Rattus norvegicus: one gene and its partner. The protein of the gene in region 2 purifies or fractionates together with the protein of the main gene of each other region. This does not show direct contact. Links are inferred from orthologs where the notes say so. Each region holds a gene or a part of one and is shown on either strand. Other genes may lie near its edges.

Region 1 (6,339 bases), about 18 Mb from region 2:
ACTGTTTCTGGAACTTCACTTTGTAGAGAAGTCTCAAACCGAGATACCTGTCTCTGACTCCCAAGTGCTAGATCCCAAGGCGTGTACTATCTCGCCCAGTTAGTTATATGGTTTTAACAGGTGTTTTTGAAGTTTTCATATTTTTCTTTTCTTTAATATATCTTAACTGACAAAATTACATGTTTATTCCATTGAACATGTTTTGAACTCTTCCCATCATGGTTGATGTGCTTCACTTGTGTCAGAATTTGCAAAGTGGGACTCAGCGTGGTGGATTTCCTTTTGGCAGCTGCTTGACCTGATGTTACATGTGTAATCTCTACAGTGGCATCACAGCTCCTAAATTCCTGCTTTTTTACTTTCCATGTGCTTGGTTCAACACTTAAACAAGTTTAGTAAAAAGTACCAATAGACTTTTGTTTCTTAAGATTGAGCAAGACATGAGGCACAAGTCTTTAATCCCCGTGCTAGGGAGTCAGGCAGGGATGTGTCTCTGAGTTCAAGGCCATCCTATACCATTTAGAAGTGCAGGCCAGCCAGCACTACATAATGACACCTTGGCTCAAATAAATAAGTAAATAGTAGACAAGAGTCAGCTACTTTTATTACTTTTAAAATCTATTTTCAAACTCCACACTTTCAGTTATCAAATAGTGTAGCCACTGTTTGAAATACAGTATGCAGCCATAAATTCTAACAGAGGACAGTCAGTACCCTTGCCTAGAAATAGTATTCCCATCTGTGTTTCAAGTATGCTGCTTCAAGACCCTGCTCATTTGCTAGCTTGTATCAAAGCCCAGTCTAACAGTTAGAATCTGTGGTTTTATTAATGGCCCAGTCTCCAGCAAATGTGACTGCTTTGTGGGTTCAAGGTCAAGACAGATGATAAAGCTTTTCCTTTAAAAACAAAAAACAAAAAAAACCCTCTTTTCTAAATCCACCCCCCCCTTTAATTAGAGAAAGTTGTTGGTTTGCTTCCAAATCACCCAGAGGATATAAGCTGATTTCATTGTATGTTGAAGTGCTACCAGCAAAATTGTTTCTGTTACCCTGTTGTGAGATTTTTTTGTTTTGCCTTTTATAGCTTTTGACTGCTTTTGCCCTTTGGTTTTATTCCTTTGAAATGACAAATCATCCAGAGTCAGCCTAGGTCTGTCTAAGGTGGGGTTGCTAATTTAGAAAGTAGTTAGAACAAAATCTTTTTTTTTTTTTTTTTTTTTTTTCCGGAGCTGGGGACCAGGACCTTGCGCTTGCTAGCACTCTACCACTGAGCTAAATCCCCAACCCCTACAAAATATTTTTTAAAGTGTAGGGATTCTGTTAGAAGCTAATACCATAGCCTGATATTTTCACTGCTGCCTTACTCCTGTTTGAAGGCTGAAGAAGCAGGGAAGAAAAAGGTTGCTTTTCTCCTAGACAGTGAGGCTGAGTCTTCCAGTACCTTTGCACACCCCAAGCAAGAGTCCCAATAATGCTGGGGCTAGCAGTGCATGCCTTTAACCCCAGCTCTGGGATGCAGAGGCAGGTAGATCTCAGTGAGGCTAGCCGGGATTACATAGGGAAAAAACAGACTCCTCCACAGAAAAAGCATTAAATATTGATTTTTATGGCATTTATTTTATTGGAGACACCTATTTTATTCATATACCTAGTACCTACATAAAACCCATGAGCTTGGGCTTGCTGCTGCCAGTCTCTTGGCGAGAGAGTTAATAAGGTGGAGAGTGATAGAGCAGGATAGGTAAAGTCCTCGCCTCCTCTCCATCCACCTGTTCTGCATCTTCATGTGCTCATGTGAGCATCTTCCATGTACACACAAATGTATGTTTCACACGGTCACCTGAAGACACAAAGTACAGCGGGAGGTCTTGATTTGTGTACAAGAAACTGCATTTAAAATGCACAATCAAGATAGTAAGATTTTTATAATCTCTGAAACATATCTTGTTGTGTTAGGAAACTGTGGGAGTGACTAGAATTATTTTTATCAGGTGTTCCTGGTCAAAACTGGTCGGATCCAGGGAATACATTTATAGGTTGAATCTATTGATGGTTTTTAAGCTGATACAAATGTCCTCCTTAACTTAGAATTTTCTGAACCTTGTTGTTAAATGTAAGAAGGTAAACATCTATACAAAATGATTAAGAGCAGCTTTGATTTCATTGTGATATCTAAAGATTTATTAAGAATTCAGATTGTTGTCAGTGACAAGTTTCAGGGATATTCAATACATCTTTTCCCCTTTTTCATCCAGCTTGCGTTGGTGACATGGAGAGATTGTTTGTTCAGGCCATTGAATAAACAGGTATCTACTATGGGATATGTCTGTGTTTCCTTAAAAAAAAAAACTTTCCATTTTTATCTTCTCAAGCTTTTTGACTATCTCAAGAGTATTTGTTGGGCTGGGGATATGGCTTAGTCTGTACAGCACTTGCTATGCAAGCATGCGAACATGGGGTAGATCCCCTGTACCCATTGGAAGAAAGCAGGTATAGTGATGCCCACTAGTGACCCAGCACTGGAAAAGTGTGGTCAAGTAGATCCTTAGTGCTTCCTGGCCAGGTCCCGGCTTGCCTCCTGAATGAGCTCCATGGCACTGAGTGGCGACTGTCTTAAAGGCACGGTCAATTACTCTTGGCAAACAGGTTTGGAAATTGTCCTCAGTCTTTGCATACACATGCATAGACATGCATGTACTCATCCCCCTAAAATATTTATTACCTTGTATTATTTAGTGACTTAAAATGTTTAAAGGATATATAAGATACATTGTGAGCTGTATTATCTGCCTTATACCTTTTGTGTGTTCTTAAAGGTAACAAATGCTGTTTTAAAACTGATTGAGAAGGAAAGAAATGGCGAAACCATCAATACAAGACTGATTAGTGGAGTTGTACAATCTTATGGTAAATAATTTGCCTTTATTCAATAGTTTTTGTATCACATGACAATTATAATAGTGCTCTAATATTAATTTAAAATATTTATTAGAAATTATCAGGAATGTTAATTCATCTTTAAGGTACTTTTAAGTAATTTTATAAATCATAAAAAATATTTAATCTTTGTACTTTAAGGAAATTTTGTGGAAAAATTGAATTGTATTTCCTTCTCTGTTTTCATGAGGAATTACTTATATATAATTGTTCTTTTGAGCTACATGATAACCAGAAACTATATCAGCTTGAAAAATTTGAGATTGAGATACTGATTAAGTGATGCTTTGTTGAAGCTTGGGTGGGTTTGCATTTCTGTGAAAGTTTACAAGCAATATTTATATCACTTTTGGAAGTGCAAACTTTCTCTAACTAAACTTGTAATATTGGAGTATCCCTGGCACAGGTTAAGGATGATTTGCTGCTATACATCTTGGAGTTCATTCTTTTTATTTTTTCTTTTATTAAAACAAGCATACTTTAGTACTAGCAAATAATAGTTACCTTATAACCCTCCATTTCACATTGATCTTTTAAGTGTAACTTAAACTGACTGCTACACTAAAGTATTGTCTGTAAAATATAACAAAAAATATGGTAATTGAAATATAGCTCCTATTTATTTCTAGTGGAATTGGGACTGAATGAAGATGATGCATTTGCAAAGGGCCCTACGTTAACAGTGTATAAAGAATCCTTTGAATCTCAATTTTTGGCTGACACAGAGAGATTTTATACCAGAGAAAGTACTGAATTCTTACAGCAGAACCCAGTTACTGAATATATGAAAAAGGTAAGCTTAAACATAATATAAAGTAGATATAAGTTAAATAGTCATCACTCCTCCAGGGAGTTCTTGGCATTGCAGTGTTCCTCACTTGGCAGGCTTGGCACTGCAGTCACACCATGTCAGCAGGTTTCACTCTTAGAACTCTCTGAAGAACTTTTATAAATTGAGACTCATTAGTGAGTGTTCCCTGCATATACAAGGAGATGCCTGATAGTAGCTGCATGCCTTCCATGTTTTTGTATCGTCTCCCCTTGAAGCGTGGACCTCAGGATTTTATGTCAGTGAGAAAATACACAGGTATTCCTAGATTTGCTACTTTTTTGTTTTTGCTGGTTTTCTCCTAAAATATTCCCTAAGAGTCATAGTTTAGCCCTTCAAGATTAAATTAGGAGGGAGGATGTAAATTTGACTTAGGAGAAGATCCAAGGTGGAGCCATGTATTCTAACTTGCTCTTTACTACACGGTGCTTCCATGACCTTCTAATAGGAGTTATCTTTGCTCTCTTTTTGGGAAATTCAGGGATTCTGGATATTGGGTCTGAGGAACGACTATGTCGGGAGTTGACAAGCTTTCTGCTATATAGTACTGGCCAGTAAATAATCTTTAGGCTTCTCAGCCTATATAGGATCTCTTCTGTCATTGTTCAACTGTACTTTTAAAAAACAAAAGCAGTCATGGAAATGTAGAAATAAGCCGGAAACAGGTGCAGCAGGATTTCCCAGCAGACTACAGTTTGATGACCCTCTCACCTGTATGTACTAAATTTTTAAGAGTCTAGGTCATACCAATCTAATACCTACTTTGCCCTCTCTTGGGCAGGAAATGGACTGCCAAGTCATTTCCGTGTTTAAAGAAAGAAAATATAGGGTTGGGGATTTAGCTCAGTGGTAGAGCGCTTGCTAGAGGCCCTGGGTTTGGTCCCCAGCTCCAAAAAAAAGAAAAGAAAAAAAAAAAAAGAAAGAAAGAAAATATAAGCACAACCACTCTGCTTCTGATACTTATTTGTTTTTTTCTTTTTTTTTTTTTTCGGAGCTGGGGACCGAACCCAGGGCCTTGCACTTGCTAGGCAAGCGCTCTACCGCTAAGCTAAATCCCCAACCCCCTCTGCTTCTGATATTTAGAGAAAGCCATGCCTAGCTTGCGGTGTTCACAGTGTATCTTCGTATGGTGAGCTAATACAGTGAATATAAGTGGGCCTTCTAAGTTTGAAATTAAAATTCAATTACACATTTCTGATATCTCAGAATTCAACAGAAGTAGAACTAGTATATGTGGGATAGTGGTGGTTCTTTGTAGTAGATCTTTGTTTTTTGTATGTGACTGAAACCTAACCAGCTCCTTAAGGGTATTTGAGACATAATCTGTTTTGAATCCTGGTATTGCTCATTATTTAGTTTTGTAGTATGACTGTAGTTTTTATAAACAGGCCTCTTACTGACTCAGTTTTAATTTTTTTTGCACTTTATTTTGTATATGCATGTGTATATAATGTGTATATAATGTGTCTCTGGGTGTGTACATGAACAATGTATGTGTGCCATGTTAGCATATGCATAGACTGTTTTTTTTTTACCATATAGGCACCAGGGATCGAGTTTAGGTCATCAGGCTTAGCAGCAAGCACCCTTAATACTACTGAGCCATTTTGCCAGCCCAGTAATGATTTTTTTTTCTTAAGCTATATCTTTAAAGTAGAATCTTCCCTAACATTGCACACCTCTATGGTGCCAGCCTGCTCTTTGTAGACGACTTTATGATCTGTGGTGATGTCTGCTGCCCATGCAGATAAGAGTAGTAGTAGTAGTACCTCAGCATGAGGAAAATAACTTTTAGGATAGTGCTGCATATACACTCTAAACAAGGAAGTCTGTTTTTTGAAGTTTGGCAACTTCAAAAGTAACAGTGTCTGGTGGGTTGGTGCTTGCAATCAAACCTCTCCTTCACACTCCAGGAAATTCTCTAAAAGCATTAAAAGTTTGGTCCTGACCCACTTAGAAGTCTTACTAAACACAGCTTGTCATCTTGTTCAGGGAACCCATAATTCAGGGTCTACAAAACAAACAGTATAGAGGTAATCTTATATCCTTGTATCTCAAACTGGGTCACCAGTTTTCAAGATTAAAGAATGACCTTAACCGTTATGTTCCTTAGTTTCTTCACCTGTGAAAGGAGAATAATATTTTAGTGAACGTTACTTTTAAAATAATGTAAAAGGAGATTTGAAATTATGTATGCGTTGAATATCTATATTAAAGGCTCTATAGAAAAGTGTAGCAAAGCAAACATAATGGAGGACTTTGACCTTACACATGCATACCTCAGAGTCTCCAGCTTGTGCCTGGGCAGGCATAGGACTGCCAGAAAAAAGTTGACAATTTCAATAACTTGAGGAAAAGTTACATTGATATTAAAAAAGTTAAGTAATACAACATCCCAGGAATAATTTTGAGGTAAAGATTAGCTTTCAGGAAATATCGTGCTTTCAATAGCCAATTTGGGCTAGATATTACAGTCCCTAGAGGTCTCTGTTCAGTTTGCTGTCATCAGGTACGTGTATTTTAGTGTAAACAGTTACTAATGGTTGGTCCATCCATAGATGCCTTTGATGGCT
Region 2 (6,439 bases):
AGATGGCTCAGCGGTTAAGAGCACCTGACTACTCTTCCAGAGGTCCTGAGTTCAATTCCCAGCAACCACATGGTGGCTCACAACCATCTGTAAAGAGATTCGATGCCCTCTTCTGGTGTATCTGAAGACAGCTACAGTGTACTTATATATAATAAATGAATAAAAAAAAAAAAAAAAGGGATCAAGAAGTCAGGCAGTGGTGGTGCAGGCCTTTAATCCTAGCACGTGGGAGGTGTTCTAAGACAGCTGGGCCTACAGAGTGAGTTCCAGGTCAGTCAGAGCTAAAACAGAGAAACCCTGTCTGGTGGGGACATAGGAGGAGGAGAGGCAGGAGGCAGTGGGCGCTGTCACATACTTTCAATTACATCACACTTGTCCTGGCTCCTCTACCTGTTAGCAGATGTCTTGGGCAAACCATGTAACCTATCTGCTCTCTATAAAATGAATATAACAAGGCAGAGAACATAGCTCAGTATAAGGATATTAGCCTGGTATACATGAGGCAGTAGGTTCAATTCCTAGCACTGCCCTTCACCAAACCAAACTAAAAAAAAAAATGTGGCAGTAAAAATACTATTTTCACAGTCATTAAAGATCCAAGGTAAGCATACATGTGAAAACATACTATACACAAGCATTAGAGGTACCCCTTCTCTCAGGATTTAGTTTTTTTTCCTTCTGTAAAGAGGTCAGGGGATTGGGGATTTAGCTCAGTGGTAGACTGGGTTCGGTCCCCAGCTCTGAAAAAAAGAAAAAAGAAAAAAAAAAAAAAAAAAAAAAAAAAAAGAGGTCAGCTGGACATGGTGGGTCCCACCTATCATCCCAGCACTTGGGATCAAGGCAGGAGAACTGCAAGTCTGAAGTTGGTCTAGGGATGCAAGTTCCAGACCATTTCAAATCAAACCAATCCAAACCAAACCAAGCCAAGCCAGGTGGTGGCTGTGCACGCCTTTAATCCCAGCACTTGGAAGGTAGAGACATGTGGATCTCTGTGAGTTTAAGGCCCGTCTGGTCTACAGAGTGAGTTCTAGAATAGCCAAGGCTACATGGAGAAACCCTGTCTCAAAAAAACAAAACCAAAGAAAACAAAAAACCCAAACCCAGAAACAAACAAACAAACAAAAGATTTGATCTATCCCTCAACTGATACTTTGCAGAATATTATATAATGGTGCTAATTTCCAGAAAAAAGTTCTTACCGATACTAATTCTTTGGTTTAAAAGATCAGAGTAAAGAGGCTGGAGAGATGGCTCAACAGTTAAGAGCTCTGGCTACTCTTCCAGTTCAACTGCTAGCACTCACATGGTGGGTAAGTCAGCTGTAACTCATCCCAGTGGATCTGATGCTCTTTTTTGGACACTTTGGGCACTGCATGCACATGGTTCACAAATATACAGGCAAAACACCCACACATATAAAACAAAAGATCAGAGTAAGCAGTATCTATACTCTACCATACTGCTACAGTAGGCAGTGCCTCTATAGTAACAATTCTGCAGCAGGCAGAGACACACAAACTGAAAAGGATATAGAGAAGGTCTCCACTCTGTGAAAAAAGGCTTCTTTGCTTGTAGATTCCAGTGGAGGCTGTTCTGCTTGAGGCGACCCATCGACTGACTGGAATGTGGCAGATGTGTCCTTTCTGAAACCAAATAGGACTATTAGTGATCTCTGTACCATTCTTCTTAAATCTCCTGAGCCTAACTATTCCACACACATCACATATCAAACCTGAACTAGATTTTAAGTTTCTAAAGCTGTCCCTCTGCTTAATATATCCAACGACTTCACAATACTAAATAGGCTCTAAATTCTTCAATCTGGGAGTCCCAACTCTACAGTTTAGCCAGCCTCCTAGCTCATTCACAGTTCTCCAACAATATTTTGCATAACTTTAGTAAACACAAAGTACGGCCTTCAAGGGTTTAGGTATTGATTGATAATACAATTTAAACCACTTCAGCGAAATAATTCCTTTATTTATTTATTTATTTATTTATTTATGAGACAGAATCTCACTTTATATCCCAGGCTGGCCTGGAATTCTCAGCAATCCTCCTGTCTCAGCCTCTTTTTTTTTTTTTCCAGAGCTGGGGACCGAATCCAGGGCCTTGCGCTTCCTAGGCAAGCGCTCTACCACTGAGCTAAATCCCCAACCCTTTTTTTTTTTTTTCAAATAAGACTTATTTATAAGTATACTGTAGCTGTCTTCAGACACACCAGAAGAGGGCATCAGATCCCATTACAGATGGTTCTGAGCCACCATGTGGTTGCTGGGATTTGAACTCAGGACCTCTGGAAGAGCAGTCAGTGCTCTTAACCACTGAGCCATCTCTCTAGTCCCTGTCTCAGCTCCTTAAGTGTGGATAATATGCGTGTGTACATGTGTGTATGTACAATATATATGTGAATGCATGTGCCCATGCATGTGTATAGAAATCAGAGAAGAACTCTGTGGAGTCAGATCTTTTCTTCTACCTTTATGATGTTCAGGGTTTGACCTGAGGTCACCAGGCTTCCATGGCAAGCACCCTTACCCGATAAGCCATCCTGCTGGCCCATAAATCTAACTCTCAATAGGAGAAAGAATAGCTTACATATTGTTACATACACGGACCCTTGTTTCACACTATCTCAATTAGAAAATTTAAGTCATGGGCTGGAGAGATGGCTCAGCAGTTAAGGGGCACTGATTGCTCTTCCAGAGGTCCTGAGTTCAATTCCCAACACCCACATGGTGCCTCACAACCACCTGTAATGGGAACTGATGCCCTCTTCTGGTGTGCCCAAAGATAGCTATAGTGTACTCACATACATAAAACGAATAAAACAAATATTTGTGAATTTGCCACCAAGAGAAAAAAATTTATTCATATTAAGGCTGACTATATTTTGAAATAGTATCATGGTATTACTAATTCAAAATTATGATTGATTGTAGACATGCTACTAGACAATTTCTTTTTCTCCTCTCCCTCATCCCTACACCTCTCTCTGGCACAGGGCCTCAAATTAGCCTGGAACTTCAGATCCTCCACCTTCCAAGGTCTTAGCGTTGTATGATACCGCTACCAGTTGAATAAAGTGCTAGGGTTCAAATTTTGAGCTCAGTGCACGCTAGGCTAGCTATTTCCCAGCCCAGCATTAACTATTTAAGGAAGGAGTGAGGGAGGGAAACGGCATAATTCCACGTAACTTCATTTTACTATCTTGCTAACTAAATTTACTGTGTGATTGTTTCATTTACAATCCCATGTAATTTGCTTTACACACTTAGGACTGTTCTTCGGTAAAGGGGTTGCTAAGCTTCACTATACTGTGAGACCCCACGGCTTTAGAAGTCAGGTTTGCTCATTCAGCTAACAGTCTTCTCTCTCAAAAAAGGTTTATTTCAAAATTTCGCTAGTGATGCGGCGTCAGACACAACCGTAGGCTTCCGAAGCCAAACAATCAGAGAAGGCCAGCCTTTTTCCAGAGCTCAGGAAGAATTTAACCTCACCCACCAAGTCACGGACTGAAGTTACCCCCTGCGTTCCCCGCCCCCTGCTCCAGGCCGTTGTTCCCCAAGCTACTCCAGCGCCCACAGCCTGGACAACTCACGGTTCTGTGCCCCCCTCTTCCGGGACAATTCCTTCATCTATCAGCTGCCGAACTTTCTGGGGTGTCCCTTCAGGGGAACGAACGACTGCACCCCAAGTCTTTTCAATACCCGCGGCAAACAGCTGCCCCTCACAGGAAGCCGCCATCTTGGTCCGTTCCGGAGTTGTGTTCCCTCGCGTTGTGAGGCTCAGGAACTTACGTTCTGAGTTAAGTCCCGCCCCCCGGCCTATCAAAATAGTGACTGCGAGTCCCACCCTTTCCTGGTTATCTAAAAGAATTTAAGATTATATTGTTTAAAACTAAATGTAGATTATTTGCTTGTCCGATGAATTAGCATATTTAGATTAACAAAGAGTTTTCTTTTTTGATATATAGAGTTTTCTATGCAGTCCTGGAATTCAAGAGATCCTCCTGCCTCTGCCTCTGTTTCCAGAATACTGGGAATAAAGTCGGGTGCTACTACAGTAAAGGGTTTTAAAGGCCAAGTCACTCCAGATTCAGTAGAGATGAAGGACTCAATTGCAGCCTACAAATAAAAGTCATACCGACTCTCCTAAATTACATTTTTTTTTCCAGGCAAGGAAATGGCAGTGTTTAGTTGAGAATAATCTGAAACCCTTCATAGGATTGTGTTATTATTGGAAGAAGTTTATGGCTTTGACCTCATCCTCCCTTCTTTAGCAAACATTTATTAACTATTGCCTTGATGTACTGGGAATTGTCGACAAAATGGTGAACAAGAGAGGTGTGCATGTCAGTGCTGGGGGAATCAAACCCACGGCCCCACACAAGCTAGGTAAGCAATCTACCACCGAGCCCATCCTATAATTTTAAAATTATGACTATACATGCTTCAAAGAAGGCTCACTGAGGACCTAATTTGGCTGCAGAGTCTTGAGAAAACCATCTGTTTGATGTCTCTGCCACTCAAGGGTAGCAGCAGGAGTATTAGAAACTCCAGGCCAGTCTACCTGCAAAGTTCAGGGTCAGCCTACGTTACATTTTAAAAGGTAGTGGGCCTGGAGAGAAGACTAAGCAGCTAAGAGCATTTGTTGATCTTGCAGAGGACATGATTCCATTCCCAGCATCTACATGGTGGTTCATAACTATCCCTTCTCTGGGGATCTGGGGCTTTCTTTCCACCTCCAAGGGCACATGGTGCACATACAGAACAGGCAGGCAAAACATTCATACACATTAAATAAACAAACCTTAAAAGCATTTATTTTTTTCTCCCCCCGGAGCTGGGGACCAAACCCAGGGCCTTGCACTTCCTAGGCAAGCGCTCTACCACTGAGCTAAAACCCCAACCCAAAAGCGTTTCTTTTAAAGGGGGAGGTGGGGAGCTAGAGAGGTGAGTCAGTGGTTAAGAGTGCGGTCAGCCAGTGTTGGGGATTTAGCTCAGTGGTAGAGCGCTTGCCTAGCAAGCGCAAGGCCCTAGTTCGGTCCTCAGCTCCAGAAAAAAAAAAAAAGAGTGCAGTCAGCCTGTGTACTTTTGGTTTGGTTTCTGGCACCCGTGTTGGGCAGCTCACAACCACCTGTAATTCCAGTTCCAGGGAATCTGATGCCCTCCTTGCTTTTCCAGGCACCTGCATGAACATGTGTACATGCCTATGCTTGCTCACGCTCTCTCTCTCTCTCTCTCTCTCTCTCTCTCTCTCTCACACACACACACACACACACACACACAAGTAAAATCTTTTTTTAAAAAGAACACTCTTCAATAGAGCAGCAGAAGGAGAGATGGGAGGGTGAACCCCAGTATTTTGTTTGCTTGCTTGTTTTTGTTATTCAGATATGGTTTCTTAGTGTAGCTCTGGCTGTCCTGGAACTAACTCTGTAGACCAGGCTAGCCTTGAACTCATAGAGATCTGCTTCCCGAGGTGGAAACCCAGTCTTAGGATGAGGTTGTTGGGAAGAAACCTGCACAGGATCTTTCAAAACCTCCAGCTGGAAGACTGACGTGCAGGGATAGTGAGCAAAGAAGACAGTGGGATCATCTCTCTTCTTTCAGCTTATGTCCTATGTATGGCTCCCGACTCCAACACGGTTCCCAGACACTGGAACTTGAAACCCATGATGTCACGTGGGTGTAGAAGCAGGCAGATTTCTGTATGTTTGAGACCACCTAGTCTCCATAGTTCCAGTCCAGTCAGAGCTCCACGAGGCCCTCTTACCAAAGAAGGAGGAGGCAAAGGAAGAACAGAAGGCCCCTTGCTGCAGAATTTGGTTATATACCTTGCATCCAAGAGCCAGAAATTTCAGCAAAACTTGAAACTGTGCCCTCAGAGATAATGCTGCTTTTCCTGTAGACACCCTACTTTTTCCAAACAATAATGTATTAATAAATCAACTGCTTATGTAGAGATGGAAGGCCTGTGGAGGGCATCAGATACAATGTTGTATCAAATTTTTTAGCACTCCTCATCCGGAAACATAAATGATACAGCTGGTAAATATACCTTAAAATGTCATTTACGGCCAGGAGATGGCAGTGCACAGCTTTAATCTTAGCAGGTGATCTTTTGGTTTGAGACCAGCATGGTCTATAGAGTGAATTTCAGGACAACCAGACCTACACAGAGAAAGCCTGTCTCTATAAACCACGGAAAAAACGCCATTTACAAAACTATCTTTTCCACTTCATTTTAATTCTTTAATTTTTAAAAAGATCTATCCATTTATTATTTACAGTCTTCTACCTGCATGTGTGCCTGCAGGTCAGAAGAGGGCACCAGATCTAATTATAGATGGTTTTGAGCCGCCATGTGGGGTGAATTGAACTCAGGACCTCTTAACCTCTGAGCCATCTCTCCAGCCCCCTACATCTTTAATTCT

Evidence for each region. The genes of interacting proteins can lie anywhere in the genome.
Region 1: the proteins of Zc3hc1 (region 2) and Cul1 purify together in Homo sapiens (affinity purification with western blotting; 3 studies listed by BioGRID, with this or other methods). This does not show direct contact. The link is inferred for Rattus norvegicus from reciprocal best matches to the Homo sapiens genes ZC3HC1 and CUL1.

The regions. Positions count from the first base shown.
Region 1 is NC_086022.1:77,591,847-77,598,185, forward strand, and holds part of Cul1 (cullin-1), read left to right. Parts: intron 1-2,255; coding exon 2,256-2,306; intron 2,307-2,816; coding exon 2,817-2,907; intron 2,908-3,566; coding exon 3,567-3,730; intron 3,731-6,339. UniProt on the Homo sapiens protein: Core component of multiple cullin-RING-based SCF (SKP1-CUL1-F-box protein) E3 ubiquitin-protein ligase complexes, which mediate the ubiquitination of proteins involved in cell cycle progression, signal transduction and transcription.
Region 2 is NC_086022.1:59,975,564-59,982,002, forward strand, and holds the start of Zc3hc1 (zinc finger C3HC-type protein 1), read right to left. Parts: upstream 3,774-6,439; 5' UTR 3,748-3,773; coding exon 3,602-3,747; intron 1,644-3,601; coding exon 1,532-1,643; intron 1-1,531. UniProt on the Homo sapiens protein: Required for proper positioning of a substantial amount of TPR at the nuclear basket (NB) through interaction with TPR.